Arabidopsis thaliana: one gene and its partners. The protein of the gene in region 4 purifies or fractionates together with the protein of the main gene of each other region. This does not show direct contact. Each region holds a gene or a part of one and is shown on either strand. Other genes may lie near its edges.

What was found.
Region 1: the proteins of MDAR1 (region 4) and NDPK1 fractionate together in Arabidopsis thaliana (co-fractionation; one large-scale study listed by BioGRID). This does not show direct contact.
Region 2: the proteins of MDAR1 (region 4) and TRA2 fractionate together in Arabidopsis thaliana (co-fractionation; one large-scale study listed by BioGRID). This does not show direct contact.
Region 3: the proteins of MDAR1 (region 4) and PGM2 fractionate together in Arabidopsis thaliana (co-fractionation; one large-scale study listed by BioGRID). This does not show direct contact.

The regions. Positions count from the first base shown.
Region 1 is NC_003075.7:5,920,434-5,926,225, reverse strand, and holds NDPK1 (nucleoside diphosphate kinase), read right to left. Parts: upstream 2,743-5,792; coding exon 2,692-2,742; intron 2,572-2,691; coding exon 2,523-2,571; intron 2,210-2,522; coding exon 1,860-2,209; downstream 1-1,859. Other genes in the region: AT4G09340 (SPla/RYanodine receptor (SPRY) domain-containing protein), read left to right, coding at 1-64, 182-338, 427-495, 580-639, 733-819, 927-1,211. UniProt on the Arabidopsis thaliana protein: Major role in the synthesis of nucleoside triphosphates other than ATP. The ATP gamma phosphate is transferred to the NDP beta phosphate via a ping-pong mechanism, using a phosphorylated active-site intermediate.
Region 2 is NC_003076.8:4,300,105-4,307,725, forward strand, and holds TRA2 (Aldolase-type TIM barrel family protein), read right to left. Parts: upstream 4,212-7,621; 5' UTR 4,109-4,211; coding exon 3,933-4,108; intron 3,737-3,932; coding exon 3,565-3,736; intron 3,472-3,564; coding exon 3,422-3,471; intron 3,300-3,421; coding exon 2,999-3,299; intron 2,768-2,998; coding exon 2,579-2,767; intron 2,492-2,578; coding exon 2,309-2,491; intron 2,222-2,308; coding exon 1,976-2,221; 3' UTR 1,688-1,975; downstream 1-1,687. Other genes in the region: AT5G13410 (FKBP-like peptidyl-prolyl cis-trans isomerase family protein), read right to left, coding at 103-158, 279-323, 414-494, 671-721, 808-893, 1,168-1,308, 1,388-1,457, 1,534-1,602; AT5G13430 (Ubiquinol-cytochrome C reductase iron-sulfur subunit), read right to left, coding at 5,310-5,953, 7,121-7,295.
Region 3 is NC_003070.9:26,666,258-26,675,952, forward strand, and holds PGM2 (Phosphoglucomutase/phosphomannomutase family protein), read right to left. Parts: upstream 6,910-9,695; coding exon 6,835-6,909; intron 6,626-6,834; coding exon 6,389-6,625; intron 6,169-6,388; coding exon 6,087-6,168; intron 5,992-6,086; coding exon 5,936-5,991; intron 5,783-5,935; coding exon 5,669-5,782; intron 5,550-5,668; coding exon 5,487-5,549; intron 5,341-5,486; coding exon 5,221-5,340; intron 5,119-5,220; coding exon 5,018-5,118; intron 4,889-5,017; coding exon 4,829-4,888; intron 4,727-4,828; coding exon 4,627-4,726; intron 4,501-4,626; coding exon 4,340-4,500; intron 4,246-4,339; coding exon 4,150-4,245; intron 4,012-4,149; coding exon 3,948-4,011; intron 3,861-3,947; coding exon 3,779-3,860; intron 3,700-3,778; coding exon 3,521-3,699; intron 3,433-3,520; coding exon 3,356-3,432; intron 3,273-3,355; coding exon 3,140-3,272; intron 3,048-3,139; coding exon 2,931-3,047; intron 2,835-2,930; coding exon 2,763-2,834; 3' UTR 2,389-2,762; downstream 1-2,388. Other genes in the region: AT1G70720 (Plant invertase/pectin methylesterase inhibitor superfamily protein), read left to right, coding at 134-772; AT1G70740 (Protein kinase superfamily protein), read right to left, coding at 7,590-8,036, 8,118-8,304, 8,441-8,675, 8,775-8,985, 9,113-9,246, 9,331-9,394. UniProt on the Arabidopsis thaliana protein: Catalyzes the reversible isomerization of alpha-D-glucose 1-phosphate to alpha-D-glucose 6-phosphate. The mechanism proceeds via the intermediate compound alpha-D-glucose 1,6-bisphosphate.
Region 4 is NC_003074.8:19,599,078-19,607,698, forward strand, and holds MDAR1 (monodehydroascorbate reductase 1), read right to left. Parts: upstream 5,378-8,621; 5' UTR 5,290-5,377; coding exon 5,239-5,289; intron 4,918-5,238; coding exon 4,822-4,917; intron 4,662-4,821; coding exon 4,590-4,661; intron 4,463-4,589; coding exon 4,411-4,462; intron 4,306-4,410; coding exon 4,225-4,305; intron 4,064-4,224; coding exon 3,945-4,063; intron 3,854-3,944; coding exon 3,634-3,853; intron 3,555-3,633; coding exon 3,436-3,554; intron 3,245-3,435; coding exon 3,119-3,244; intron 3,025-3,118; coding exon 2,884-3,024; intron 2,724-2,883; coding exon 2,400-2,723; 3' UTR 2,136-2,399; downstream 1-2,135. UniProt on the Arabidopsis thaliana protein: Catalyzes the conversion of monodehydroascorbate to ascorbate, oxidizing NADH in the process.

The DNA of each region.
Region 1 (5,792 bases), on a different chromosome or scaffold from region 4:
CGGAGAGGAATAAGCAACAAATAGCAATCGAAAAGATATCCATACCATCGAACATGAGTCTTGGGTGAGTACACTCTTGTTCTGTAGTTACTGAGGTGAAGTTTTTTCTTCTATTCTTTTATTGCATTGGTAATAAAATTTCTGCGTAGCTAAGAAGCTTCTGGTTTTTTTTGATCATCAGGCTTGTAAAGAACTATTTGCTTCATTATGGGTATGAAGAGACTCATCATGCTTTAGACTTGGCTACTAACAGTACACTTCCTCCTATCAATGGAGCTCAAGAAAATGGTATTGATGATACATCATATGCATTGCATGAGAGAAAAATTCTTAGACAGGTATTGAATTAGACTGCTATCTTGCTCGTTACTACTACTACATCTCTTTCGTTAAGTATTGAACTGATCCATACGTCGGTTGGTAAAGCTTATACGGAAGGGTGAGATCGATGCTGCTCTTGCGAAACTCCGAGATAGCTATCCCCAACTTGTACAGGTGGATTGAGGAACTAATCATATCAGTTGATTCATATTGTTACATTGAAAATATGAACTCTTACCTCAATTGTATAATCTGCAGAACGATAAATCAGAAGTATGCTTCCTCCTTCACTGTCAAAAGTTCATTGAATTAGTACGGGTATGCTCTTCATTCCTTATATATTAATCAGATCCACTGCGGTTAGACTGACCTCTCTCTAAGTAAATAAATACTAAAATGTGACATACTTAGATTGGAGCACTAGAAGAGGCTGTGAAATATGGACGAATGGAATTAGCCAAATTCATTGGTTTAACTACATTCCAAGACATTTTAGAGGTAATGATGGTTCTGCAACCTTAAACTAGTGGTGGTGTTTTGGAATTTTTTTCAATATTTAGTGGTTTCAAAGACAAGAGATTCGAGCATCTTGTTATCTATTTCAGGACTGCTTTGCTTTGCTAGTGTACGAACGCCCCGAAGAATCGAATGTAGGGTATTTCCTAGAAGAGACTCAAAGGGAAGTAGTGGCAGACACAGTGAATGCTGCGATTTTATCTACAAAACCAAAGGGCAAAAATCAATCGCATTCTCATCTAGAGACACTTCTCCGACAACTAACAGCTTGCTGTCTGGAACTGCGGTCGCTTAACGATGGTCAAGGAGAAGCGTTCTCGCTTAACCGACTTCTTAGAACCAACAATTGGAAGAGGACAAAAAAGACTACTTAGCTGTGTCCATCTTTGGAAACAAACTTGGCTTTGATTGTTGACAGTGGCTGGGTTTGAACTGTTACAGGCAGCTACAATAAGCGGTCAAAATAGATGATTGAAACAGACGGGTTGGAGTTGAACCTGACCGTTGGATTCTTTTCTTCTCTAAAGTTTGAAGAACCAAAATTGTAAAATTTAGTTATTTAAATTTAGCTTGCCAATGTTCATCAGTAAGCTTGAAATTCAGTAGACAAATACTCAAAACTTTTCTTATCACTCTCTCCTAGTATGCCCCCTTCAAGTTGGTGTCAGCCTCAAACTTGGACAATGGCTTACTAGACAACTTAAGCTTGCCACTTTGTCGAACGTCGCAGTTTTCGAGAGCATCTAAGAGATTGACAACATTATGTGTTCATGAAACACAAGGTTACAAGAAGTATGATCTTGTGTTTACTAAATAGGTTTGATCTAACCATTGGTAAGAGTCAATTTTGGTTCAGTATCTGCAATAACTGATATATTTTATATCACCAGTTGGTAGCTGTTGTATTCATATGTAGCAAGCAAGCAAAGTAGAGAAGGATAATCAAACTCAACTTAAATATAGAAGTCTTGTTCAAAAGACAAGCAATGTCGAAAACACACTACTGAAAAAGCAACAGATCATCAAGTTTCATAGACCCAAGGGTGAACGCTGCTCTGCCAGTTGACAGGTCCATCAGGGAACCACAAAGCAATCTCCTTTCTTGCACTCTCGACAGAGTCACTACCATGGATCACGTTCCTGCCAATGTCAATAGCAAAGTCCCCACGGATAGTTCCAGGCTCAGAAGCTGCTGGGTTGGTAGCTCCAATGATCTTTCTTCCGGTCAAGACAACATTCTTTCCTTCCCAGATCATAGCAACAACAGGGCCGGATACAATGTAGTCAACGAGTCCACTGAAGAAAGACTTTGAAGATAAGTCTTCGTAGTGCTTCTCAGCAAAAGATCTCTCTACACTGATCAACTTCAGACCTGTATAAAATACAAATCTACACTGATCAGAAACACAAGACTAACACTCTTATCTACCAAATTACATAATACAAAAGGTCCAGATAATAACAAGTTCTTATGCACAGATACTATAATCTAAAATCTATTAGACAACACAGAATACTTGTCAAGTCAAACAAGTTTTACTAAACTATTAGTGTTCAGAAACTAGACCAAACCATAAGCAACTATAGTGTCATTACAATCTCAATTCAAGTAACAAAGTGACTTTAATTAGATCTAAGACCTCTAATTATAATGTAAAATCAAGTTTGGTAATCGAAATCATTACCTTTCAAAGTGAAACCCTTCTTCTCAAACCTGCAGATGACTTCACCGATCTGAAAGAAAAAAACACAAACATATCGATCTTTTAAGTATAAACAATCCAAAGAACTGAATACAAAACCAAAATCAGATCAAGATCAACAAGTATGTATTAAGAGAAAAGGGAAGCTTACGAGTCCTCTCTGGACGCCGTCAGGCTTGATCATAATAAAAGTTTGCTCCATTGTTTTCTTATTACTTGTGATTCGTAGGAGGCAAAAAAGATTTATATAGAGTCCGCACATGTAACCCTAATTCTGTTGAAGAATATTCTAACCCTAGAATATTTGCTACAAATTATTGGGCTTCCCTTATTATTATGTTAGGCCCAATTAAATAAAATATTGGGCTTCATAAAAAAAACACAAATAATATTTTTTTGCAACTTAATTATTTATGTCAAACAAACGTAGATTAATACTGTGATATTAAAAGTCGTTCGCAATATAACTCTTGCACGTGTATAGATTTTGCAAATCATATAAATCTGTACATGATTATTAAAATTACGTCGTTTTGAGCCTTCTTTTAACAAAAAAAACGGCTTTTACTTATTATTATTTTAAGGTTCAATTAGTTATAAAAATTGGATTTTGTGCCAAAAAATTCTCTAAGTAATTTTTTTTGTAACTCAATCATGTAAGTTAAATAAATGCAGGTCTGCGATCTCAAAAGTCACCTATAGTATATCTCTTAGACGTGTATAGATTTTGCAAACCGTATGTTTATATATAGGTTATTAAAACTACGTTGTTTTGAGCCTTTAAACAAAAACGCAAAATAATGTTGGAAAATAGATTTGAACGCATGGCATATTGAACTATTCAAAGATTACTTAACCAATTGAGCAGAGTGATTTTGTTAACTTTACAAACCGATTAATATATATAGTTTAAACATGAATCGAATACAACAATAACATTATTTCAGAATTGTAAACATAAAACTTGACAAACAGCGCGAGCGGTTACGATCGGATCAAACCCAAGTCTGAACACGCTCAATTCTTCCACCCACGCCTCGTCTCAGAGCTTTCCTCGATGAAGAATAGATTAATTGCGATGAGAATGAGCCCTTGCTTGCTCTACAAATTGTTGATGATGGCCAAAGATAATGAAATCAGTGGTGATAAACAAACTAGTTCACGTGAATAGAGATTTCGGATTGCTAATAAACCTAATTTCCTAAGAAGATGAAGAAACCCAGAATGCAATGTTCACAATATATATTTATCGGTATGCAATATCAACAATAAATCTTGCAGCACAATTGGTTAAGTGCATTATTTAGTATTATAGGTTATTGGTTCCAATCCACTCTAGTAATGTATTATTTTCCGAAAAGATGCTCAAACGACGTAGTTTAATAACTTATATACATACTTATACGGTTTGCAAAATCTAAGCACGCCCAAAGATTATATAAAATCTATGCACGTGGTTATACTGTGGGTGACTTTTGATATCAGAGTATTGACCTACATGTATTTAATATGAAAGGTTATGTTGCAAAAAAAAATATTTTTGAGGGTTGTTGGCACAAAACCCTAATATATTTGTTAGATTTGGATTAAAAGAGTTTGATCACACCACTTTGATGCATTCTCTCATGTTGAAGATATACACAACACATTTTCTAAACAAAAATTGTAGTTTTAAGGATTTTATTTTTTATAATATATATATCAAGTATATGAATTGATATAGAAACTATATATAAGTACATAAATTATTCGATGTAGCCAATTACTTCAAAAATTGATAAAATGATCTCAAACACATTTTTTAATAGAGCAAAGTTCTCTTTCTCCATCTCTTGCTACTCAATCATTTTGTTGTATCTACTTTATCATCTATTCGCATAAATTTGTACATAACCACTTGTTCTTAAAGATTATTTCTCATCACATTCGAAAACACTGTCGCTAACACATCTTGCCTAACTCTTTTAGACCTTCAAATATGTATTAAAGAAAGAAAGACAAGTTTTCTACATGATGAAAGTTTGCTCCATTTTTTTTGCTTGCTTATGACCCATGGGAGGCAAAATGAGTTATATATAGTCTCCACAAATTTTTAACTCTAATTATACCGAAGAACATTGTAGAGCTAGAATATTCGCTGCATTTTTAGTGTTATTGAGTCTTCACTTATTATTATTTTAAGGCCCAATTCGATAAAATATTTGTTAGATGTGGGTTAGAAAGACACAATGGTTTTATCTCACACCACCAATGATGCATTCTCTCATGTTGAAGATATAAATAACACACTTTCACAGCAAAACATTTAGTCTATAGTTTTAATTTTTTTATTTATTAATATATGTATCAAGTATATAGTTTTTTTTTAAGAACAATCGACTATAAAAAAACAACCAATCGAAATATAAGTTGCAAGTTTCAAAGTGTATCCAACCATTTGTTTTAAATGATTTGAGTTTTTATGATTTTGTTGATCTTAAGTGAATTTAGAGTAGTTGTAATGATTTGTTTGAAAATCTTCCCAAATTCCACTTAAATCATGTTAGTTAGATATATGTGTTTTCAACTAAAAAAATCCTCAAAATTATCTGAAATCCTCAAAAGAGATATAATGGAGGATGTTGTGTTTTATTCAAAGTCACATACAACCTCTCACAAACATATATTTGATTGTAATTAGGATCTAGATATATGAAAACTCATGATTGTATGATGAATCGATGTAGAAACTATATGCATGATTACACATAAATTGTACAATGTAGTCAATTACTTCAAAATTTGAAAAAGTGATCGCAAACACATTGGTCAATGGACCAAAGTTCCCTTTCTCTATCTCCTTCTCATCAATCATTTTTTTGTTGTATCTACTATATCAGCTATTCACATAATTGTGTATCTAACCACTTGTTCTTAGATATTACTTCTCATCACATTCAAAATCATTGCCGCTAACACATCTTGCCCAACTCTTTATACCTTCAAATATTTTCTACTAACATTTTACTGATTCTGATACGGATATTTTGATGTTTATCCGAGTTTCACATATTCAAAAAGTATGGATTCAGATAATTTCATAACCTCTATATTATTGTCCACATCTAAAAACCACATAGTAAATGACCTGGAAAGAACAAACTAGGGTTCTAAAAATGTAAAACAATGGAGCAGTTATATATGGGAAAGTCCAGTGAATAAAAACAATTTTCAGATGATGATAAGAATAACATATTTCAATTAAAAGAATGA
Region 2 (7,621 bases), on a different chromosome or scaffold from region 4:
CACTGATTCATTCTACCGTCTACCATTTGTGTGAAGAGTGAGTTCTATATGAAAAACATATGGAGGATGTGTAGAGTTAGAAATATTAGAAAGATGTTGAACCTTCTGATACCACCGAGAGCCATCCCAGAGACAGCCTCCTCAAAAGCAGGTATCACCTGGAACACCAAAATCATGCAGCATCCAGAAAGAAACAATTCATACAATCAGTAACAAAATCCATTCTTTAAACCGGTAAAACCCATATAGCAACTAGAAGGACTTGGAATTTCGCCCACCTCATTGGATCCTAAGGTAAATTTGAAAAATTCCTTATCATCGCCCTACAGATTCACAAAAAGAAAACAAAGATTAAGGACTGTATCATTGTAGCTAATGAAACAAAAAAAAAAAGAGCCAAAACGTGTTTATACCTCAAAAGAACCCCCTTTTGTTTTATTGCGAGCTTCAAATATGCGTCCATAGTACCCTATTGTGTAACCGTCCCAGTCAACCTAACATACCCAGCTTCAATTATTTATAACTACTAGCAAAACCTATGGTCTTTGAAACATTAATTTGCTAACATAGATACAAGCAAAGCAAACTCCAAACTCTCTAACCAGAGCAAACTTCTAGATAAACTTGAGACCAAGGATACAAAACCATAGATATGCAGAAATTTCCTTACCACAACTTTGTCTCCCTTTTTTGCTATAGGCCCAGTTCCTACTCGCAAATCCTGCAGCATCTCAAATCTTCAAGTTAATGATCACCGCATAGTCTAAACTATATTAGATATAAGATATGGGACTAATGAGGGGTGACCTTATACTGAAGACCAGACTGTGTTTCTGTATAATCTGGATACTTCATTTTTGTTTTGCCATAATCCTTCCCTTTAAGCGCTGGCACTGTGAATGCAAGTAATATACCAAGAAAAGAATGTGGCTTTAGAAAAAAAAGAGGCTATATCGATGATTTCAACAATCACGCACGGATAAATTAACTTCACCTAAAGAACACATCTTTCTCTCACAACCAAACTCTTAACAGTGGACAATCAAACAATGTTCCAAATTACAAATGCCAATAACTTTACTTAATAAGGCACAAAGCAACAACTTAATCGAAATGTAACCCTGAGAAAGATTCTCTGCCCTCCAAAAAGAAATTGAAAATTCTTACTGTCAGCAAATTGAGAAGCTGATGCAAAGTCTCCATCTTTAGAATCGTATGACAATGCTCCAATCAACAAACCAACAGAAGAAACCAACAACTTTCTGCGATCAAACTCTCCAGAATTATTAACACATCCACAATTCCCACCTGTTTTCAAAACTGAAGTTATAATTCAATTCACTGTTGAGGAGGAAACAGAAAAGTAAAACTGTAGAAGCAAGCCAACCAGAAGAACGAAGAGGAGCGAAGTCATCTGATTGGTCAGCTAATCGAGCAGCCACAGTCGTCCGGCATCTCTGAGAATCAAAATGAGAGATTCAGTGAATAAAAAGGAAGAAGAAGAAGAAACAGAGAGATGGTGCGGCGTCGTACGGTGGTGGAGGAAGTTCCGGCGAGCGCTGTGGATTGAGGGAAGCAGCCAAAGGACGAAATTGACGCCATTAGAGTGAAACTTAAAAAACTGATTTTTTTGTACGTCTAAAGAGAGATGAGAGATAAAGTCTCAGCTTTTTATGTAGAGAGGCTTCTAGGAACAATTGTTCATATAATCCGAACAAAGAAGAAGACAAGGACACTTTTTTACTCGCCAATTGTTTTCAGTGAAAATGTAAATTACAAATACGGTAAAAAGTAACAAACTCTTCTGAAGCATCATCTTACAAGAACAAAGAAAATAGAATAACCCATAATGTGGAACATCAAGCAAAATCCATCATAACCACTTTAGAAAGCATGCATAAGGATTGAAGAACAAAAGCCAAAGGTTCTTCTTTTTATTTTAGCGTAACCAAAAACATAATGATGACTCATTTCCTCAATGGCTGGCTAGTTTGAGAGTGTTGGCCTTGTCTTGCAGTGTACCGAGCAGACTCTCGAAACTCTTCTTGAAGGAATCTACTCCTTCGTCTTCCAACTGTTCTCCTACTTTGTTCCAGTCTATTCCCAGCTTCTCTAGTGCACTGTAAATCCCTTCTGCTTCTGACACATTCGCATCTATTGTCCTCTTCACTATTCCATGATCTGCGAATGCTTCCAGGGCTTGATCCGGCATGGTTGATACCTAAATCACACCCACAAAAACTATGAATATACTTCCAAAGCGTTAATACAGCCTATTGACTTCAACACAAACAAAAAGATGACTTACAGTGTCAGGTCCGATGAGAGGAGCGACATATAAGGTGTCAGAGTAAGCTGGGTTCTTTACACTTGTTGATGCCCAGAGAAGTCTCTGTTTCTTGGCACCTTTCTTTACCAGAGCTTCCCATCTTGGGCCAGAGAATTTCTGCTGGTATAGCTTGTATGCTAATGCAGCTTGAGCCACAGCCGCCTGCAAGAGTAAACATATCATGTGTCATAAGCTAATACTCTACTCACAGTGGCTGGTGTAAGATCTCAGCGATGAATAGAGCTTTACCTTCCCACGGAGATCTAAGGCTTCAGGGGTACCAATTTGCTCAAGCATCTTGTCCATGAGAGTATCCACCCGACTGACAAAGAAGGAAGCAACACTGGTAACTCTTGAGAGGTCATCAAGTCCAGACGCCTCGAGGCCATCCAAATATGCATCGATCACTGCTTCATATCTGGCGATTGAGAATATAAGCTGAAACAGAACAGAACATATGAGAAACGATTTAGAAAAGGTAACATCAGTGCATCCTTGGAACACCCTTGAACTAATCTAGTTTCAGGTTTAAAACGCCCAAGAAATCCAGTGATCTAGCACATCATCACACAATACATGAATTTGAAGTATTATGACTTATTTTATTTTGAAGTTCTTTAAAACTTGCAATAAGAAACTTGAATAATGAAACATACTAGGATAACTTACCGTGACATTGACACTTATTCCAGCTGCAATGACATCCCTGATGGAAGGAATGCATGGAGCAGTAGCAGGAATCTTAATGTAGACATTACGACGGTTGACAACCTTGCTAAGATATTTAGCAGCTTCAACAGTTCCTTGGGTATCATCAGCAAGCCTAGGTGAAACTTCAACAGAGACATAGCCATCCGCACCTTCTGTCTGGTCATAGATTGGCTCAAAAAGTTTGCAGGCATCCTGAATATCCTTCACCACAAGTTCCCAATACGCACTTTCAATGTCCTTTCCCGATTCCACAAGTGTCCTAATAGTGCATGTCAGGTATACCATTAACATATCAGACAACTTTTCATATAAAGAAGAACTCTAAAGTTTTAATAGCATGTTGTTAACAACCACAAGTCTAAGACAATCACAAAAAGATACCTGAATTGATCATTATAAGCATTTGAAGTGGAAATGGCTTTTTGGAAGATCTGCAAATGTATAAAAAGTGAAGAAGTAAAGACAAATGAACAAACACAGAGCAAAAGCAAAACCAAACACACAAAGAGAGATGATAAAATTACCGCAGGGTTGCTAGTAACACCTCTAACACCACGAGCAATCAACGGGAGAAGATCTGTGACTGGACGGCAAAGATTATCATACCAAGGACTCTGACCTTCCTTCTCATATAGATCATGAAGAGTCGTTCTCTTTCCAGCAGTTCCATTTCCACCAGACACTGAACACCTCACACTGCAAATTAAACAAAAAAATCAGACTTTTACCAACCAAAAAGGGGAAATACAGTTGCTTTTCCTAATCCATCTTATAAAAAATGTTACTTTGAGATTCGTGGTACGTTTCCAGCTAAAAAGATTCAATTTTTGGTGAACCCCAAGAGCGAGAAACAGAGACAAAAGACATGCATCAAATGGATATAAAGACTTACGAGAGGGAAGGTATTGATCGTTGGTTATAACGAAGAGAAAGCTGAGAAGAGGAAAGCTTTGCATTCAAAGCGCGGAAATTGACGAAGGATCTAGGTAAGACGGAGGAAGAGGAAGAAGATTTGGAGTCGACGCAGGTGGCGCGGGGAAGATTAGCGAGATTCGAAATGGTTGCCATTTTTTTCGTCGAGGGAAATACGAAAGTGTTTTTTCTTGGTTTGATCGATCGGAGGATAAAAACAAAGAAAGGGGCTTAAAAATGGGGTTGGTGAAGTTTTGAGTTAGGTCGGGAACGCAAACGACGAAACTATATCATGATGGCGATAGATGCTCATAGTTGACCATTTTCTGTCTTATTTTACATTCTAATTTCTTACAATTTATCCAAATGTTAAAACAATAAATAGTTATATACTAGATAACAAATTTATTTAATTTAGATAAATGTGATTTTTTACATCAGATGGTTTTAATAAACTTTCTCTAATGTATGATTAATCAGTCTGAAATTAGAAAACAATGAATAAAATAATAAGAGATAGAGCGGTGTCTTATGATAAACACGAGAGGTTGCTTAGTGAGGACCTTTGGCTTGTAATTAGTGTGTAATGGCCGTTGTTAGTTTGCAAGGGTCGGAGAAGTCACTTCCCATATCCCAAAAGGAAAACAACTTACAAGAGATAAGTCACTTCCCATATAGTTCATGGCCGTTGTTGGTGACCAAAACAAACAAGATTTTAACATTTTCATCTCCCACAATGGTTTTTACCCAAATCAAACTTTGGCTTTTGTGTGTCAAACATTTTTTCTTAACTAAAAAAGATTAAACAGAATAAAATATTATGTTTTTGTGTTCTTAGCCAATCTAGAAAAAATCTAGCTATGCCACTTTTGGATGATTGAATATTCATTCACGGGATGTCTTACGAATACAGTTTGAACTTATTCGGTTATCTTCCTGTAAACTATCAATCAAAGCTGATATATTACCTTTTGTTGTTTGTTTCTACGTTGGTTTTTCTCATACCTTTAGTTTTTCTTTTATGAACGTTGAGATACTATCGAAACTCAAATGTAAATACAACTTTTTAATTGGAATGACGATGTTTAGAATTATGAGATACGAAAGGAATCTCACTCATACATAGGACAAATAGGCATGTTAAATAATAAACACAGACTATGAACATAGTCGTCTTTTACTAGCGATGGATAAACGAAGATTGAGTATACTTCAAACAAAAATCACAAGTTTGTATTATTCAGCAAAAACAAGTCAATCTTGCTCTAACATGCCGGAAAATATTAATTAAAAGAAAAAAAGAACAAGTGAAGATCATCATTCAGATCCAGACTCTTGACTGTTGTGCTTTTATTAATCAACCGATGAGTAACTTATTCTCTTCCAGGAAGCTGTAGGTTGGTACTTCCAGGTTGTATGGTGCAGGACCTTTCCTAATTCTTCCAGATATATCGTAATGTGATCCGTGACACGGACAAAACCAACCACCATAATCACCAGCATTAGGCAAGGGGATGCACCCCAAATGAGTGCACACTCCAACAACCACTAACCATTCTGGATTCTTGACCCTAACCGAGTCTTCTTGTGGGTCCCTCAGGGATCCAACATCCACACTATTGGCCAGCTTGATGTCATCTTCTGTTCTTCGCCTGATGAAGACGGGCTTTCCACGCCACTTGACTGTCACGGTAGTTCCTGGTTCTATGCTCCCTAGGTCAACCTCAAGGGATGCAAGGGCAAGGACATCTTTACTTGCAGACATGCTCACAATAAGCTTCAAAACAAGCAGGCGGAGGACAGAGGCATAAACAAACCTCCCACCCGACAAGACAAAATAGGCGAATGCACGCTTGCTAGGGTCACCAGGTGGGTAACGCTCATGGTTATGGTCATCATAGACAATCTTTGAGTTAGGCGTTTTGACAGCTTCGACTGTGGCTGGGACTTCTGAACCAAAACCTATCTCATTTCCTTGAGCAAGGACTTGAGAAGAGAAGCCTGAAAATAGCATGAAACATTAATATTTCACATCAAAGGCAAACTTTATACTTGGTCAAGTGTTCTACAAGAATAAGAATAAGCCACAGGACTACCACAATCAAGATGTGACCATTGATGTATAATCTTCTAAGGAAAAACAAAAGTACATAAAACGGATTCCATGAAGTATGAGATCCATCCAAACAATTCAAACCATCGTATCAAACTCGGGGAGTGGAAACTTAAATACGATAATCTCCATAAAAAAAACAAGAGAACAAATTCAATGATCAACATGGAAACAGAAGAACAAAAAATTGGAATCTAGAAGCCAATGTGAATCACACTATGGATAACGCATTCCAATGATTTACAAGCAAGGAGCTTTAGTCATCAACCAAAGAATTACATCTAAACAGGTCAATCCATAATCCATCAATAAACTCAAATGTTCATTTCCTTCTGGACGAAAGAATGAATCAGAGAAGCCAAGTATACCAAATTCATCCAAACAAATCAATAATAACAAATTCAGTGAAACCTTAAATACTAAAACCAACGTAATAAACCAAGAGAAAAAAATATATTGATCAGATGCTGTATATTACAGAAACGCTTAAAACACAACAAAATTTCCAATGCTAAGAACAAACAAAGCTCTTTGGTTAAGAAAACATAAATTTCAGAATGCAAGTTCCTCAGCATGCCTTTAAACAGCTATAAATCCTACAAACATAGTATACAGTTAAAACATCCATGTCCCTAACAATGAAGAACTCAAAAGGATTGATACACAAGATCAAATTTCAAAAACCAAGAAGCCAGTGGTGAATCATACTATGATTAACGCACCGAAAAGAGGAAACTTTCCTAGTAAAACAAAGGATTATCTCAGAACTGAACAATCCACACGAAAGAAGTAATCATCAAATGCAATACAAATCCAGCAAGGAGAAGAATGTAGCCAAATGGTACATCAAGCTCATGGAATTCAAATCAGATGACACGTTTGTTCCCACGGATCATTGCAGATACAATACTAGAAATCTCAATCATTCCCGTGAATCATACAACCAAAAAAAGAAGACCTTTTCAAAAATCAATCAATCAAATAAAACTGCAAAGAACCACCGAAAATGAAAAATCAATGTAGAGAGAGAGGGAAAGGGTTATAAATCGGCAAACCTCTGATAAGGCTACGGTGGTAAGATGAGAGATCTGCAGAGGGGAGGGATCTGGGAGCTGAAGAGGAGTCGCCGCCACCATCGGAAAGGGTATGGTCACGGGAGACGACGAAGGAGGTCGCAGTCGAAGATCTCTGCGAGACAGAGAAAAGCCTCCTCCCTGCTACACGCAGCATCTCTCAGCTCAAATGTGAATCTAGGGTTTCGCTCTAGCTGAACAGAGAAATCCTCAGGTTTGGGACGGCCGATGCAAAACAAAACATAAGAGACTACTTACTAGTAAGTCCCTTAAAAATTGTCTTTGAGAAAAGGTCAATTTGTTTTGTTTTTTTTGGTTTTTGCGTATTACTTGATATTTTTTTACTTCAGGATTTTGATGGCATGGTTTTTTTTCTAATTTTAATTAATAAAATCTTTTGGTTTTACGATATAATTTTTTTGTGTGTGTGTATTTGTAAGATAAATTATTTTATTTGTATAAAAATCGTAATTTTTAATAATA
Region 3 (9,695 bases), on a different chromosome or scaffold from region 4:
CCCGGCCCACTAAACATTCATGCAGACAATTGTTGGCAGAGTATTTTTGTTCACCTCCAAACTCAACTCTCTAATTTTGTTTCTTTATAAAATCTGATATTTTTCAAAAATCCTATAAATAACTCCAAGGCTTATGAATCCAAAAGAGCCAAACACATCACACAACAATATGGTAACAATGATGAGACCTACTCTCCTTATACTTCTCTTTTCCACCTTTCTCCCACAAATCCTCACCGTTGATCCACCACTCCTACCATCCAACGGCTCCGATTTCATCCGTTTGGCCTGCAACACCACACTCTACCCGGACCTTTGCTTCTCCACTCTCTCCTCTTTTGCCAACTCCATCCAAAATGACTCAAACCGCCTCGCGCGCGTAGCCATCTCCCTCACTCTCCACAACACTCTCCACCTTCTCTCTTACCTCCAAAACGCTTATAACCGCGACCACCCAACCCCCGTCCTTAGAGACTGCTTCGAGAATCTTAAAGATGCCGTTGACGGTATGAGAGGCTCCATGAAACAGATGAAGGAGCTTGTCTCCGCGTCTGGCTCGATCGAGTCATTTAGGTTCCAGATGAGTAATGTCAAGACTTGGCTTAGTGCAGCTCTTACTGATGAGTATACTTGTACGGACGGGTTCAAAGACGTCCACGAAGACGACTCTATCAAAGATGACGTCTGCTCTCGAGTCGATGACGTCAAGAAGCTTACTAGCAATGCGCTGGCTTTAGTTAACCGCTATGCCGACGAGTCAATAATAAATTAATAATATCTCAGTCATCGATCCTTCGAGTCTTTTGTTTTTTTTCGAAACTATGAACTTTTATACTTAAAAAAGTATTAGTAAACTAAAAGTACTACTCGTTGTTGCATGTAATACTGAAAATATATGTGAGTTTTCCTTGGAATTATTATTTACTTGGATTTATTTCAGTTTTTGCAAGTAAATGAAAACAGCAGTACTGTAAAAAGAATCAGATTCATGTCGTTTTTTCTTCGATTATTTTCTGGTAAATTAAATATATAAGTACTTTAAGAAAACGTGATAAATAAATAATTGAACATATGGTACAATTTTTATAAAGATTCTTAATTTATTAATGAAGAAGCCGATGCATAATTAATAATATTGCATGCATGCGCTGTAACTCCAATAACCCTGAAGTTTATAAAAAAAGTACACGGTTTTGAATATATATTCGAACACTGAAGTATTGCTCACTTATTATGTTTTTTAGAAACTAAAAAAAATTCAACGAATGTGAAAGCATTATCCATTAGATTTCCCCATCAAGCCTGAGGTGGATACATATTAGTTCTTCAGTACTTCTCCTGAACTGATGATTGTGGTAAAAAAAGTAATGATCGACATGATCGAAATATCGAATTTTCTCCAAAGACTAACAAGTAAGAACTAGAAGTATCTATTATGAATAGAAAAAAATCATATTCAATGTACTTGGCCTATGATTTGCCATGTATATAATATAATACATCAAACAAAAAACAATACTATAAACCTGTAACAATTACATTTCAAGATATCATATATTTCGGTTGACGCTCTATCACTATCCAATTATAATTTAAAGATAAATATATATATATATATATATATATATATATAAAATTTAAAGATGAGATAAACGAGGGAAGTACAATAATCAATAATACACTATTTTAAAGTCTTGTAATCATATATGTACATTGTAGTTTTTTTTTACAAGTATGAACTAATACGGACAAAAGAGCCAACTCAATCAATCTTTTTGTATTTGTAACTGTGATACCATAAAGAACACTGCTAAAGAGTAAAGTCTATCAACAATTTACTATAGTTACATGAATCAATTACGTGAAAAGACTTATTTTGATTAATTAAGCATTTCTGCATAAGAAAATGCTAATATTAAGCCTTTTGATTTTTTAATATTTTTCTTCGAGGATTCTATAATCAGTTGTGATTTCACCTAAAGTTAGACAATACTATACATAAAATCATTCTAATTTTTTTTATACTTAAATGCTGATCTTTTTATACGAGCTAACTCTATACTTTGACTATAGAAGCAAGAGAAATAGACAAATGTATAGCAAATAGCTAACCATCAACTGTATGTTACAATGTTGATGGTTAGCTAAAGCATCAGTCATTGTTGAGACAAAAGTTTAGTAGAAGACAACAAATATGGAGAAAGGACAGAGGAAGAAAGCCTAAAGTGGGAGGAGTGTTTGGATGGTAATGATGCCTCTCTTTCTTTTGGATTTAAAAACCAAATAAGAAAGAACCCGTGAACCCTGACTCACTTATACAAACTAACACATGGCACAATCTGATTCACGAAATTCATGCCCAACATTAGCTTTTAACTGTCAGAATGTTTTTGTTGGTCAAGCTCAAGAGACAAATTATAAACATCTGTCTTCTGGCTTGTCATCACCACCTCTCGGGTCCATTATCTATAGTTGTACACCGTAGGTTTTAGGTATCAGTTATTGTTGGATTCGCTTTTTACTCTTGCTACGTCTCCATCTGCCACACATGCTCCAATATTGTGGCAATTCTTTTTTATTTGGAGGAGCCAAACAAAGCTAGAAATTCAATTGCCAACCTAATGTATATTCCATTAAAATTATATGTATTGAAGTATACTTGTGTAAGATAACAGATAACAGGAAAAAAGCAAAACCCAAATTCATAAGAAATGAAGTTGGAATGAGAGTAGTATTGGAGACAGCGTCTTCTGAAAGCTGTCTTATGTAATAACAGTTGGTGATGATCGGCCGGTGAACTCTTGCATTTTCGACAGCTTTAATGCAACATCAACCTGTGAAAATCAGACACCAACAATTGGTGTTAATAAACATGACAAAGATCGATTATGCGTAAATTTGGGAGTAATTAAGGTATCTGGGAATCTGACCAGGGGACCAAGAGCATCCTGAGAATCTCGGCCGATCTTTGAGGCGTCCTTCTCGTATTGTTCAATGTATAGCCTTATTGTTGCTCCTTCTGAGCCAGTTCCCGAGAGACGGAACACCTTCATGAACAAGAGAAACAAGCCCGGATTAGCTTTTACAATTTCACAGGTTGTTGAATTGTTATGAATCCATTTCACACATATCGACTTACAAGTCGTGATCCATCCTCGAATAAGTATCGGATCCCTTGGTGCTTTGAAACAGAGCCATCTACTGGATCTTTGTACTCGAACTCATCTGCGCTTGCAACATTTGCCACCTCTGGATGAATTCCCTTTATAATCCTGACCAATTATCCAAAAACGTGAGTCTGAAAGTCATACAAGTAAAAAGGAATGGATTTGAAATTAAGTGGAGAGAGAGATACTTGTTGACTTCGGGAAGTGAAGATTGCAACTTAACCAAAAGTCCCATGAGTTCTTTAGCTGCAGTTGCGTCTACGTTCTATGGAGCAAATATTTAGAAATTGGTCAAAGGTAATTGGTTATTCTACATATTGTCTACAACCAATAATGACATTTGTCAGTTTTACCTCATAGTCGTATCGAGTGTAATAGTGACGGCCATATGTAGCCCAGTGCTGGCGGACAATGTCTTCAACCGTCACCAGTTTTGCATTCCCATCAAGGGTTTCCTTGTTCTTGTGAGCCAGTATTGATAGCCAAGCAAGAACTGCCCAGATCCCATCTTTCTCACGGATATGATCCGAACCTGTCGAAAAGCTTCTTTGTGAGTTGTGTAGGGTTGTTACGGTTTTAAAACATGTGAAGATCTAGCAATAGAAGCTCACCGGTTCCAAAACTTTCTTCTCCGCATACAGAGCACATCCCAGCATCCATTAGATTGCCAAAGAATTTCCAGCCTGTTGGAACCTAAAATATAGAAGTATTAGAGCAATAGACTATGTTACGTGATTGCAATGAATAGAAGCTAGAGAAAAGCTTCACAATGACATCTACCTCAAAGAACTTCAAACCCAAGTTTTTTGCAACGACATCAAGTGCAGCTGAGGTCGGCATGCTCCTGCAATACGAATGTGAAAGTTGAGAATTTAATGAGAAAAGATTGTTACTATCTATAATAAACAAAAACGTATGACACCAAAGTCCAGCGTTTTCAATCTATGAACTGGAGTAAACAAAGAAGAACCGGGATGCATACCTAGCAACACCTTTTAAACCAGAGCTGAAGTATGGTATGGCCCCAACAGCATTTGCAGCAATTATAGCAACTGAATCCGAAGGAGTTACGAAAAACCTGCGGAGAAGAGATATTTTTGGTTAACGGGGAGAGTGGTATATCCGCTCCACATCTCTGTGATCTCACTTAAAAGAGAATTAGTCTCTGCTACCTTTTACCGAGGATCATGTTTCGGTCTGCATCACCATCAGCAGCGGCGCCAAACTCTGGAGGCTCGCCACCAGCATCATCAGTTTTACTCAATCCCATGCGTGCCACGAGCTCCTTAGCATAGGTAAGATTGGGATCCGGGTGGCCCCCTCCAAAGTCCTCCTGTACATTGTCCGATTGTCGTGTTGTTATAAATCATAAAAGACACTGTTCAACGTGTATTTATAATCCTTTCAGGAAATGATATTTCTTGGTTATACAAAATAAGAAAGAAGAAAAAAATGATACCTTGGGTACGCAGTTCAACAACGAACTTTCTGGTGCACCTAGTTCTTCGACAAAGATGCGATGTGCATATGCTCCAGCCACTCCATGCAATGCATCATAGCTTCATAGAACGATGGGAAATAAAATATCAAAGACATGATGGAGCCTATACAAGCAAACAAACTCAAAAGAAAAGATTTATGGATGTTGATGAACTATATACCAGAAAGTAAATTTTGGATAAGATAGCAATTTCTTGATGGATTCAAAGTCGAAGATTGACCTGAAGAGACGAACAAATCTTTTAGATCATCGATACCGCAGATTCTGGAACCATTCTCTTAAATGCATAGACCATAGAGGGAGTAGATTCAAGAACTGTTCTCTCAGATACAAAGATGGAAAGACTTACTTCATTAGTTTAACATAGTCATCTGCAGAATCAAAAACTTCGACGTCAAACTTTCCTTCAGGTCCTTCAAAGCTGGTTATACCAATAGTAGAAATATCAACCTGTTGCATTCAATCAAAAAGACCAGCAAAAAAACATGATTAGTACAAATACAAGATGAAAAAAAGATGATGACAGGTAATAAGATCAGAAATGTTAGGTACCCTGGGTAGATCTTCCGCTATTGGGTACTCCTTGATTGTCTTTGTGTTCTCGTAAATCTTATCAGTGATTGATTCAGGAGCTGGTCCACCATTTTCCATATTGTACTTAATTCCGAAATCCTGTGAATAGAATAGCAGGAAATCAGCATATGGAAGCAGAGAGATGAACATATAGTTTAACAAAACTGATGCTAGGATTCAAATAATACTAAGTGAGGGTATCGAATGAACAAGCACAAAAGAGTGAGAACAAAAAGAGAACTGACCTCAGTTGGGCCACCAGGATTATGACTTGCTGTTAAGATAAATGCTCCTGTGGCTTTAGATCCCTGAAATTGGATCTCGGGTTAGTTTCTCATCACGTCATTACATGTTGCAAACATGCATAGCCTTAGATAACAACCCAAGAGAAAAGTAAGTAGTATGAGTTTAGAGGAAGATATCTCACATCAGCCCCTACTCTTTCACGAATAATAGCTGATACTGCAGGAGTTGATAGCAGACTGTTTTGACCAACCCACACACGTCTAACACCATTAGCTGCTGCCATCTTTACTATAATCTGTCCAGATAGGAAATAAAGTGGTATTGACGAACTATCTTTTTTATGAAATAAAAGATTCAAAACAACTAAAATAAGAGTAAAGTGTCTAAGAATTATAAGTTAATGCAAAACGCAGTTTGCCATCATTCAAAGGACATATAAAGCTTTTACCTGAATAGCTTGCTCTGAATAATAACGACCATCACCAGAAACCACAAGTGTCGCACCTGAAAAAGTTAACAAATACTCTTTCTTAGATGGAATTTGCAATCATCGACCTTTACCTGAACAACAATCAAAGAGAGGTAAGAGAGATCTTTACCTTTAACTTTCTCTGTAGTAAGAGCATTGAACGTTGCCTGGACAAAATTTTCAAGGTAATTTGGTTGCTTAAACACTTTCACCTGTAAAATTACGAAACAATGCGTAAATTCAAATCTCATCGGATCGGATCAAATTGTTAAAACCAACACACAAAATTCATTCAATCCATAAGATCGGAACTAAATGAAGAAATCAATTTCGTTGCGAAGATCTGAATTTAGAATTCAAATCTCTAATCCAATTTCGAAATAAGAACGCGGGGATTGATATAACAAGGAGAAGAAGCGAAAGCGAACGAACCTTCTTACGGAGTCCAGAAGTCCCAGGTTTCTGGCCATCAATAGGCGAAGTAGAGACGAGAGAGACCTTGAACGACACCATTTCAAATCTGAAGAAAATCGAATAAGCCTGAAGATGATAAAATAAAAGCCTTTTTACACAGTGAGTCTGAGGAAAGGAGATGAAGAGGCTAAACGAGAAGGTGACGCGTGTGGCTCGTCTCTTTTCGTTTTTTTTTTTGGTAGGATCTCTTTTCGTCTTTTAGTGGACCTAACTTTTTACCCAAAACGGGTTAGTATATATATTTTATTTTTAATTTCCAATAGAGCCGAAACGATTACAAGGCCCAACAAGCCGACAGAGGCACGAATGGCCCAAAGAACATACATGGCAATAACTGCCTAAAAGGACACGCAGGCCCTAGAACTAGAACCTAAATAAAACAACGAGGCCCAACCGGGCATTACCCCAAAAATGAAAAGAGAAACTTTAACTGAAGAACCTGAATCAGGTAGAAAGCAAGAAGTAACCAAGAGGAACATTAAAGCAAGAAGTAACCAAGAGGAACATTACGTTGATGTCTCTGATGATTAACACTGACGGTCTGTGATTCTTTGGCGAAGTTCACCTCTAGAGTGAACCAATTTGATTCACCCCCTTTTTAATGACAAATCAAAATACAACATTATGACATGTCATACTTTATTTAAAAATAAATGAAAACTAAAATTTGAAAAAAAAAATTAAAGAAACAAAATCTGTATATTTTAAATTAAAGAAAGTTAAATATATGTTTGTGTATTTTCTCCACTAATTTCAGTTAGTATTTCTTTTACTATCAAAATAATTGTTTACAAAAACCCTTTTTATAAATTTTAACTGAAAAATAATTTAAAACGCATAAAAAACATTTTAGTTTTATGTTTTGTTTAAAGTAAGGTACCGTTAATACGTACAAGAGAATATGCTTTTATACGTACGAGGCCAATAGTGGGGACCTAGATAATGGGACTACAAGTGATTATTCTAATATACAAATGTAACAAATGAATCATAATTTTTTCCCGCTAATATAACAAATCATACTACAAAACTAAATCACTACTGCAGTCAAAAAAATAAATTAATTTACTTTTCAAAAGCAAAATTAAATAAATTATGAAACAAATATTATATATGCAGCTCGCTATTTACAATCACCTATGACCAGATTTTATGTACTTCAATAACTCATATGTCGTTTCCCGTGAGGGTCTGAGCTAGAGCTCTGACCAGCACTTCTAGTGGCATTACTCCGAGTTGAAGCTTTAGAAGATGCGGGGGTACCTCTAACACCAGTTCCCGTGTTTGTGTTCAGGTTTGAACCGAAAGAATCTGTGCTGGAACCAGTGGTCGACAATGTTCCAAGTGATGCTGCTCCTGAAGGACGTTGTGTTCGCCGACGGTATCTAGATCCCGGGACACCAGGATGATCCGGTTCTTCTAGATGTCCTGGTTTTCTAGAGAGAAGTAGAGATACCCGTCTCATGCTCGGTCTTTGATGCGGATCGCCTTGAACGCAGAGTAGTCCGATCTGTACACAGAGTTTGACTTGATCTGGATCAGCTGAAGCTGCTATATCTTGGTCTAGTATCTCCATGGTCCGGCCTTTCTTGTACAACTTAAATGCCTGTGTCACATTCAGAAAGAATTTAGCATTGGTTATATTACGCTGAAGAATATTGGCTGGGTCAGGCCATCACACAACAACCCTATAAACAATGGAGCATGAGACTAGAGGCTTTACCCATTCAAGAAGAGTCTGGTCAGGGTGTCTCATGCTAAAACTCGAGTTCTTCTGTCCACTTACGAGCTCCAGAACCAAAACCCCAAAGCTGAATACGTCTGCCTTTACCGATAGAACCCCGTGCATTACGTACTCTGGCGCCATATAACCACTGCGCATAAGAAAAGAAGAAGCAATGGACGTTAAATAACATTCTACCATGAAACACCAACAAACAAAAAGAGTTCAAATGACACAAGAAGATATGTAAATGAGCTTTTTAAGGGTAAACAATAGAGAGAGCATACTTGGTTCCTGCAACACGAGTGTTGACATGTGTTACATCTTCCTGATAGAGTCTAGCCATCCCAAAATCTGCAATCTTAGGAACCCATTTTTCATCCAGCAAAATATTGCCAGCCTTAATATCCCTGTGGATGATGCAGTTTGGCGCGTCTTCATGTAGATAGAGCAGTCCTCGAGCAATGCCTGTTATGATCTCAAACCTCTGCTTCCAATCTATCTCCGATTTTCTGTTGGATTCTGCATTCAAATGAAGCAACCACTACATGTTAAAACCATCTTCTTTCAATATCATTTATCCTAATATACAAACCAATCTCATTGAGAAGAAAAACTTACTGAAGAGGACCTTGTCGAGGCTCTCATTAACGACATACTCATAAACCAAGAGCTTATCATCTCCATGTGTACAATAACCCCAAAGATTAACAACATTGCGATGCTGAACTTTAGCCAACAACTTAGCCTCGTTCACAAACTCGTTTTTGCCTTGCCTTGAAACCTGAGATAGCTTCTTCACTGCTATGTCTCTCCCGTCAGGTAATCTTCCCTATTACACACCAATCAACCTCATCAGCCAAACTAACAAAACCCACGAAAACACACACACACAATTATACAACCACAACCCTAAAAATGGAAACTTTAAGCTCTGGGTATGTCAAAATTAGGGTTACCTTGAAGACGGGACCGAAACCACCTTCACCGAGTTTATGGGTCGGGTGAAAATCTTTGGTAGCGGAAACTAAAACTTGAAATGGGAAAACTTTTTGCTCCATAGCAGCAATTCGCTCAATATCATCTTCAAGACCTTTAAGTCAACGAAGAAAAAGTTAGTCAAATTTCACAAAAACCTAATCTTACACTAAGAATCAACAAATCAAACGGATCTTACCTCGATTGGAGCTGCGTTTGAAAGGTTTAATGATGTTCTGAAAGAAATTCATGGACTTTGTCATGCCCAGATTGCTCTTATGAGAGTTCTTAGTGACCATCCCATGGGAAGGTAACAACAGAGAGAGATTTAGGGATTTAACGACGACCCAGAAAGTAGTATTGAATTGGGGAAGAACCGAAGAAGTTGATTTTGGTTCGGCGGCGTTGGATTGGGTTTAAGTGAGGTGACGTCTTAGGGATGATTGAGGAATGAGGAAGAAGAAGAAGCGTGTTTGAGATCGTCTTTGTTTTTATTAGAATGGGTTTTTGATTCAGGGAAGAGTTTATGCGAGGAAGGATTTAGATTTGAAACGAAAGTCAAGA
Region 4 (8,621 bases):
GGACAAATGTGCATAGTATAATTTAAAATGATAATTAGTATATCGATGGATATAGACAATTTGTCCGACGACTACCTAATTGTTCCACTACGTACAGCTTGCAAAATTTTGTTTGTTAGGAGACCTTGAAGTACTCCACGAGATTTACTCAAATAAATTAAGCGTCGTAGATTAATACTATCTGTCAACGAATATGAGGAGTCACTCGTTTTTTGTTAAATAGTTCTCGACCTCATATGATGACTAATAGCAGCGAGTCGCAGATTTCTAAATTAATGGAACTAATTTACATAAGTCTACACAGGCTGAGTAAAAATACAATGTACATTACCTTTTTCTTTTTTTCTTTTTCTTTTTTTTTGGGCAAACAATGTACATTACCAAAACTGAAAAAACACAAATTCGTTGAAAGGGTCAATAAAATCGGCTGATCAAAAAATAATCTGACCAATCTAACATAACTTTTAAAAGCGTACACGAGTTTTGTTACTTTAGTAGGTGTTAGTTTAGTAATGAAATGAAAGATTTGTGTCATTCTATAAGTAATTTCACATTAATTAATGCATGCAATAGTGAACTTGGTTATAATTTGGCCCACAGAAAGATTTACTCATTTAACCATGAGAAAGACATGACAATATAAAATAAGGTGTTCTTTAATTAGTATGTCTATAACTTTGAGATATATACAAGAGAATTGTAAAATATATACGCCTCCATTTCTTGCATTATTTAACTGATATCGAAGGATGCTATGCAACTTACTTTCCACCAAAAGGGATTCACATGAATTTTTCCTAGCACATTTCAAAAGTTTCTAAATCTGCTATTCAACTACTGCAAAAGTCTCTAGCAGACGACTGTATCTACTACACATTTGGGCATTCAACTAAATACCACCACGCATCTTAAACTTTTCCGCATCTTATATAAATAATATTGTTTTTGTCTATCGGTTACAAGAAATTTAAATCTTAGAGGATAATGATGATGATGAAAGATGTGATCTGAATAAAAACGTTTCAGAAGATAAATTTCTTAAACACGATTAATAACCTTGAAACTGAACTGATCATAGATTTGTAGTACTTGTTAATTCTGAAAAACGTCATATATACACACACACACACACACAAATTACAGCTATTCGTCGACTAATAAAAAAAAAAATTACAACTTATATTCTAAATAGTGGATTAGGTTGATTGTTCTTTTAAGTCATAAATGTCCCACCATATTTGTTGTCTTTTTATTAGGGGGGAAAACGTAGACACATAAAATCAGTTTATTCGTCATCCTCCTCACAAATTAAGCATATCACACAAAAATAAGAGATATTAAATGAAAATTTTGGTTGTGCTTCACTGTCTTATTTATTTCCAGTTTACTTTAAATTTAAGACGAAGACCTAACACTATGACCTCCATACTTAATAGAGTTTGCCCCACCAACAAACTTTATGAATATGCATCTTGCATCACATCTTTCGTTATGCTAATTAATAACAGTTTGGCTCATCACATGTGAACATACCCAACGTAATTCCCATTACTTTAAAATTATGAATCTGATCGTAGCGTTTATAAGTGTCCAAACAAGTTTTCTTTCAGAGAACCACAAAGTTATACTATTTAAAACTAAACCAAAAGAATTACTAACAAAATCGAACAAAGAAAATAACTTAAATGCAGTTCAATTTTTGCTAAGTTTTTGTTCAATCTTTAACCAACAAAAAGAGAAAATCCAAAAAGCGAATCTGACGCTCATAGTATTTCATCTTTTCATTCACATTAATCAATATTTGCTTTCACAATCCCACATTATAAATAACATTATTCCTAACTAATATATTTAGAATGAGTAGATTTAACTGAATTCCACTCTACGACTGGAAATAAATTTGATTATCACTAGCAAAAGGGACTAATATCATGTTAAATTTATGAATTTCTAACTCAAAATTTTCAAGTTTTCTTCGGTTTGTGTATATATCAAAACTAATTCTAAGAAAACCTAGTCGAGCCGAGGACATGGAACAATGAGAGATGTCCAATTAAAGATCGAATTGACATTTCAAGGGTCGTCCAATGCCCATTAGAGTCTACGAATTACTATTTCAAGGCCCATTTGCTTTCATATTGTAAATTACTCCCTTCATTTGAGATTACAGTAAATGTGGTTTTGGAGTTGTTCACATTAAGAAACCAAGACAGATACTGAAACACAGAAAACCAAACACATGATCTAAAATGTGAATGTGGTTCAGGGTTTCCTCTGCCGTAGACTCTTCTCATGGAGTTTAGAGAGACAATACAAACACACAACTTATTATAGCTAAACAAGTTTTTATTTTAACATAGAAGAGAAAACGTGAGTTTGTTTTGGTGGTTGTGTTTCACTCAGATCTTAGCTGCGAAGGAAATTCCTTGTTTCACGAGCTCGTCGAGACTCTCTGCAGAAGGTCGAGCTTTGGCGACTTTAGCCAAGGCTTTGTTCTCATCACCACTACCTCCCTCCATGAATGCTCCAACCACTTTACCACCTTGAACCCAATATGCTCCAAATCTTGGTTTTGGGTTTGATGGATTGCTGTCTCCAAATAACACAGAGTCTCCTACGTTGTCTCCGTAGAACTGCCATGAGAGATCAAAGGAGCGAGAGTAGAAGAATGGAAGATAGTCGTATTCCTCCACCGCTGCGCCTCCCTCAGCCGCTTTGATCGCCTGCCACAATGTATCACATATATAAACGCTTCATCAGATATATACAACTGTATGTTAATCTATAAGATTTAGGCCTCAAGAGTTTGCGTTGCATTTTTTATGGTATGGATTAATAGGGTTTTGGTGTAGCGATATCAGCCATATTGTAAGCATTATTTACCTTAACAGCTTGCTCTGCTGATTTGCGGGAATGGTCAACATGCTCGACCCTTCTCACGTCTCCGTACATTTTCAAAGGGAAAGTAGCAACGTCACCAACAGCGTAAACATCTGGAACACTTGTTTTGAAGAATGCATCGGTCTGTGTGAAACAGTTAAGCAGTCAATTTAAAAGATCCAAATCAGAATGGTACGGGATAAGAAGAAGAAGAGACGCACAGGCAGCAGATAAATACCTTAATTCCACCTTTATCTTCCTCGACCTGTCCCTTGAATAAGGATGTCAATGGTTTTGCACCAACCCCAACTATCACAATGTCGGCTTCCAATGTCCTCCCATCCTTGAGTTGTACTTCCTTCACCTGGAGGATTATATAATACAAGTAAGACATTTGCAACGAGACCATTTGGAAAAGCTAATTAATCGAGTTCGTCAAACGAAACCAAACCTAAACATAACATTGTAATTTGGTTTTAGACTTTAGTTTCTATAAAATCAAACCAAAACTTAAATTGGATTGCCCACTCTATTAGCTAATGTTTCTTTGATTACCTCTCCATTTGGCTGAGCTGTGAACCCAGATGCCACTGTTCCTTTAATGATCTTCACTCCCTTGTTTGTATAGTAAGTCTCATAGAAAGCAGCAATATCGGCGGTGAAAAGCCTAGGCACTGCGTCAACATTTTGTTTTCATTACGTGTAACAATGTCATATATTACATGAATAGCAAAAGGATACTAGTCAACTTACTGCACCAAGGTTCAGGGAAAACCATAGTGACATCTAAATTGTTGATCCTTAAAACTGCACTAAGCTCAAGACCAATGTAACCTCCGCCAACAACTACAGCCTTTCCACCTTTCTTAGCTTTAATTGCTTCAACCAATTTGTCGGCATCATCAATCTCTCTCAGATAGAGGATATTCTTAGAGTCTGCACCTTTTACTCCAAAATCAGTCAATCTGAGAACCTGCAAAGGAAGGTAAAGAGTTACTTTCTTCTTGTAATAGAATTCATAAGAAGCATTCTGATGTGAGAAATGCAAGTATATCAGTCTTTACAGTAGAACCAGTTGCAATTATGAGCGTCTGATACTTGAAGACATCCCCAGTTGCACTGACAAGACTCTTGGCAGAGAGATCAGCTTTCACTATTTCTGTGCTTAGTATCAACTCAATTCCTACAAACACAATGGATAACAAAAAAATCATAGCACGATTTAGTTCCAATAACATAAGTAATTAAGCTTGTATAGAGAGTAATGTAATGTTATAATAGATCAGTGGGACTACACAGATGAGCAGGGCATTGATATTGGTGATGTTGCAGACAGTTCATTACCTTTCTGCTTGTAGGATTCAGGAAGCAGTTTTTCTCCACCACTACCAACACAGCAATGGAAACCTGGAAGTCTAGCAGCCCCTGCAACAAAAAAAGATTATCATAAAAAGCATAAACCAAAGCCAAGTTTCAGCAAATCAAAATTAAACGTTGTAGTTAGCAAAGTAAAGTAGAAAATTGTCTTACCTTCAGGAAACAAATACCCCTTGCTAAGTGCAGGGCGTTCATATGGAGCCACCTAAGCCACCATATAGAGTAAATAAGGTGTGAGGATTAGAGAAGACAAGTCCACATAAGGATCATCATATCATAGGTTACAAGACACACTGCATAATCACAGTTTTCCAAATCGAGAGGAAGCTTACCGCCTCTTTCGAGATAACAGCCAATTCTCCTGGTTGAACCCCTTGATTGGCAAACTCCTTAGCTGCGTATCCCTACACACAAAAATGGAGAAAAGGATACAACAAAGGTTAAGAGTTGAATTTGCTTCTGTATTTAGTTATTTCTTTGGAATTTTCTTCATTAACATCTGTGACTATACGATTAATCTGAGCTAGTATAAACTAAAGAGGATCCTGATGATACTATGCTTACTATTAACCATCTGCAAGTGATTTTGCAGAGATACACTTTTCTCACACTTAACAACAACAAAAGAACTAGAACTGAATCGGAAGTTTTTAAGATGCTCTGTGCAGAGGAAACCAGATTACATCCATGTTTTACGTCGAAAAAACAATCAATCAACATACGATTGTTTGATTCAAAATCAAGTTTCGATTGTAAATTCATCTCAACGATACTAGAAACTAGAAGCAGAGCCGCCGATCTGACGTTTAAATCTATGAATCACAATCTATAATCATCGTAATCGCTATCTGATTAACAATAACAAACTCCAAGCCAAAAAAACTACGAGAATTGTGGCATTTCGCAACACAAATCGAATCAAGCTCTTCGAAAATCGAAAGCAATGGCTGAAAAAACTTAAGGAGGAAGGAAGATACTCACGGCAGAGACGCCGCCGCCGAGGATGATGTACTTAAAGCTCTTCTCCGCCATTTTATCCGATCGTGTGAAAGCGTTTTGTTATCTTGTCGCTGAAGTTGGTTTGTTAGAGAAGCAAAGAAAGAGCAAAAAGGCTAATATGAGCTGAGTGACTCTAATTGGCTAAAACTTAACCAAGACTTGGCCGTTGATTGGAGGATGTAGATACAAAGCTTACACGTGGCAATATTGTGACCGTTGAATTTATCCAACCGTCGTGGTTCATGCTATATGTGGAAAGTAAAAAGAATTAAGGACGGAAATAAAGGACTGATTGATTCTTAAGTCTTTTTTAATTAACCCGAAAAATAGTTGGTGGAAAAGTCACAAATGTGCCACGTTATTGGATAAGTTGTGGAAAAGTCCACAAATGATGGGTTTTAGATTATTGGGCTTCTTTTCCTGACCTCTTAAGGCCCAAAATAACAAAATTCAAGAAACATGAAGCTTAGTCCTTCGACCCACATGATAACCCATTTGACCATCACATGATTAACAATTCGACTAAAACAACCATAAATTTTGATTTATCAGCAATTATATTTGTAAATAGGTTTATTACTACAATCTGTACGTAATAAGTATCAATCTTTGAAGGAACTAAAATTTACACATTCCCATCCAAGACTATAGGCAGTCACAATAACCCATTTGGATGAATGCTCATTTTTATTTTTAATTGTTCAAATTTCAAAATACTGTGTATAGCTAAAAAATCGAATTAATAAGTGAAGGAGAAAAAATTGGTGGAGTGGATTAGATGCATACAATGACAAAAAAGCCAAGCAAGCCTTTTATGGGGGTGTGGCCTGTCGACACAAACATGTGAAACCTATACTTGTTGCCTTATTCTCTAGCTTGTTCTCTTTCTTTTTATTTTTTTCTTTTACCAAATCTAATTTGATTACCCTATATATCTCATCTTCCTCGGATTCTCATTTCTCAGATCTTAGTTCTTATTGATATTGTTTTGTTTAATAGTAGTTATCAAGAATATACATAACTCGAATCATTTGTCGTTGTGCACCGTTGTTTCTTGTTCGCCGTCCACGCAATAATTATAAACATCCATACCTAAATTTTATATATACACATCATGAAATATTGCGACAAAGACATTTAATCTAGTGGCTCATAGTATTAGTGCAGTCATTGCATCATAACTTGGTATAAATGTTTGAGATACAAAAATAAGTATATATATATATATATAATAGAGTTTAATCCGCGGTACACCGCGAAAATAATTTATTTTTTAAATTAATATATATAAAAGTATGGGTACTTTTTGTATTTTGTACACTATTAATGAAAATTCACATTTTAAAAAATAAAATTGAATGATGGTTCAAATTGATCTTAAACGAAAAAATCTGGGTTCCATCAATCGTTTTTCTTGAAAAGATGCAAAATATTTTTAAAAATCGAATAAAATAATTAGCAGGACCATTGATATATTTAAATATGCGCATGCATATGTTTGTATAATAAAATCTTTTGATGTTGATGGTTGGTTTAAGTTAAATAAGAAATCAGAAGCGGACGTAACACATCTAATTTTTGTGTTAGTTTAGTGTTTACAATATATTTAATGGGGATTAAAAGCATGAGGGAAGAGATTAAAGGCGCAGAAAGAGGAATCCTAGGCTCAAAGGGTTCTCAAAGACCTATCAAGTCTCTATTATTTCCTAACACCACGTTCCAACTGTATGATTTAGGCTTTTTTGCCAGATTCAAAAGTACTTTGTTGTTATTAATCTCGATCATGTATCATTAAGTTATGTTTCTTGATCTTATGGTTACGGTTGTATATTATTTGATTTTTCCTATGCATTTTCCATTAGACTCTATTTGATTTTTCCTATGCATCTTCTATTAGATTCTAGTTCATTCTTTCTTATTTTTTTAATTCATTTGTCTTGGGTGGCTAATGAAGCAATAATGGTTTTTAGTTTTTATTTGAGATATTTGTAATTAATGATGCATATAATTTACTGTTTTACGTGGAAAAACGTATTCTAATTTCTTGTAAATTGCAATCGCATTGTATATTGTACCGAGGAAAAGGATCGATTTGCCTGCGTGTGTATAAGCTTTATCAACGAGATCCAAAGTAATCTATATATGACCCATTGACCTACCATCATACACAAAGTCAACACACCTAAAAATGATTATGATCATGTTAATCTATTACCGCTTCACATACAATTGATAAAACCAAACTAAAACTAAAACTAAATATAAATACTATAAACTAGTTAAGTAACCCACGAAAAAGTCTCGGCTTGGCTATAAAAATGCAGTCACCTTCCACTTTTTATTATCTTTCTGATAGTCATTCTATCAGAAATATTTTATACATTAGACTGATTTGTAGTATTTTCGTCTGCTTAAATTTGAACATATCGTTCGTTAATCATTAATGTTTCCTAAGTTAGTAACAGGCCTAATTCTTAATTGTATGTTCAATACTTTTATCTTATGATCTGATGTCTGAACTTTGAGGTAAAATGGTACTAGTATAGTTCCATAGTTATGAATTTGAAAGACTGATTAAAAATATATATTCAAAATACATATCAATCTACAGTGTTCTTTTTTTGTTTGCTAAATTATATGAATCTACAAAATAAAAACGTTATTTCTTCGAAAGAAGTGTTGTCGAAAAAACATTTTGAAAAGAACTGCGCATTGGCTACCTGTCTTATTCTGACAATATTGCTCCACCGTTATATTTTAAAAGCATTCACATCTATTTTTATCTTCTCACCAATCTTACCTACTACCATGTGTTCGCAGTAAATTAAGACATACGACGATCGAAATACTGTAATTATTTATTTTTATTGATTACACTAAACTAATCTTTTCATCAAGATAATCTTTCTTATGGGATTTCTGATTGTAAAGGGGTTTTTCCTCAATTTTTCCCTATTATTTTTTCAATTTAGTTTTGCCCAAAAAAAAAAAAAGAAACTATTTAATAAAGTTCTATAATATATTATTGATATAATCCGATTGAGTTAGCTCGATTAGAAGAATCATAGATGGCTAGATAAAGACATCTAGTCGACCTCTACTACTCTAGTGATCTAAGATTCAACTGGAGAGCAGTGTTATGACTTTGAAAAAAAAAAAAAAAAAAATCAGCATGATATACAACTTTTATAGATTAGTCACTATTCGATGAATGATGGGAAATTTCTTTGGCAATTTGACTTTGGTCAAATATGTCATGATATTGGTGGAAGTAAATTATTGATCATCAACATTTCCGGGAGGTGAAATCAGTTTTGACATGACAGTATATAATATTAAAATACTTGTTTCTATGAATAAAAACA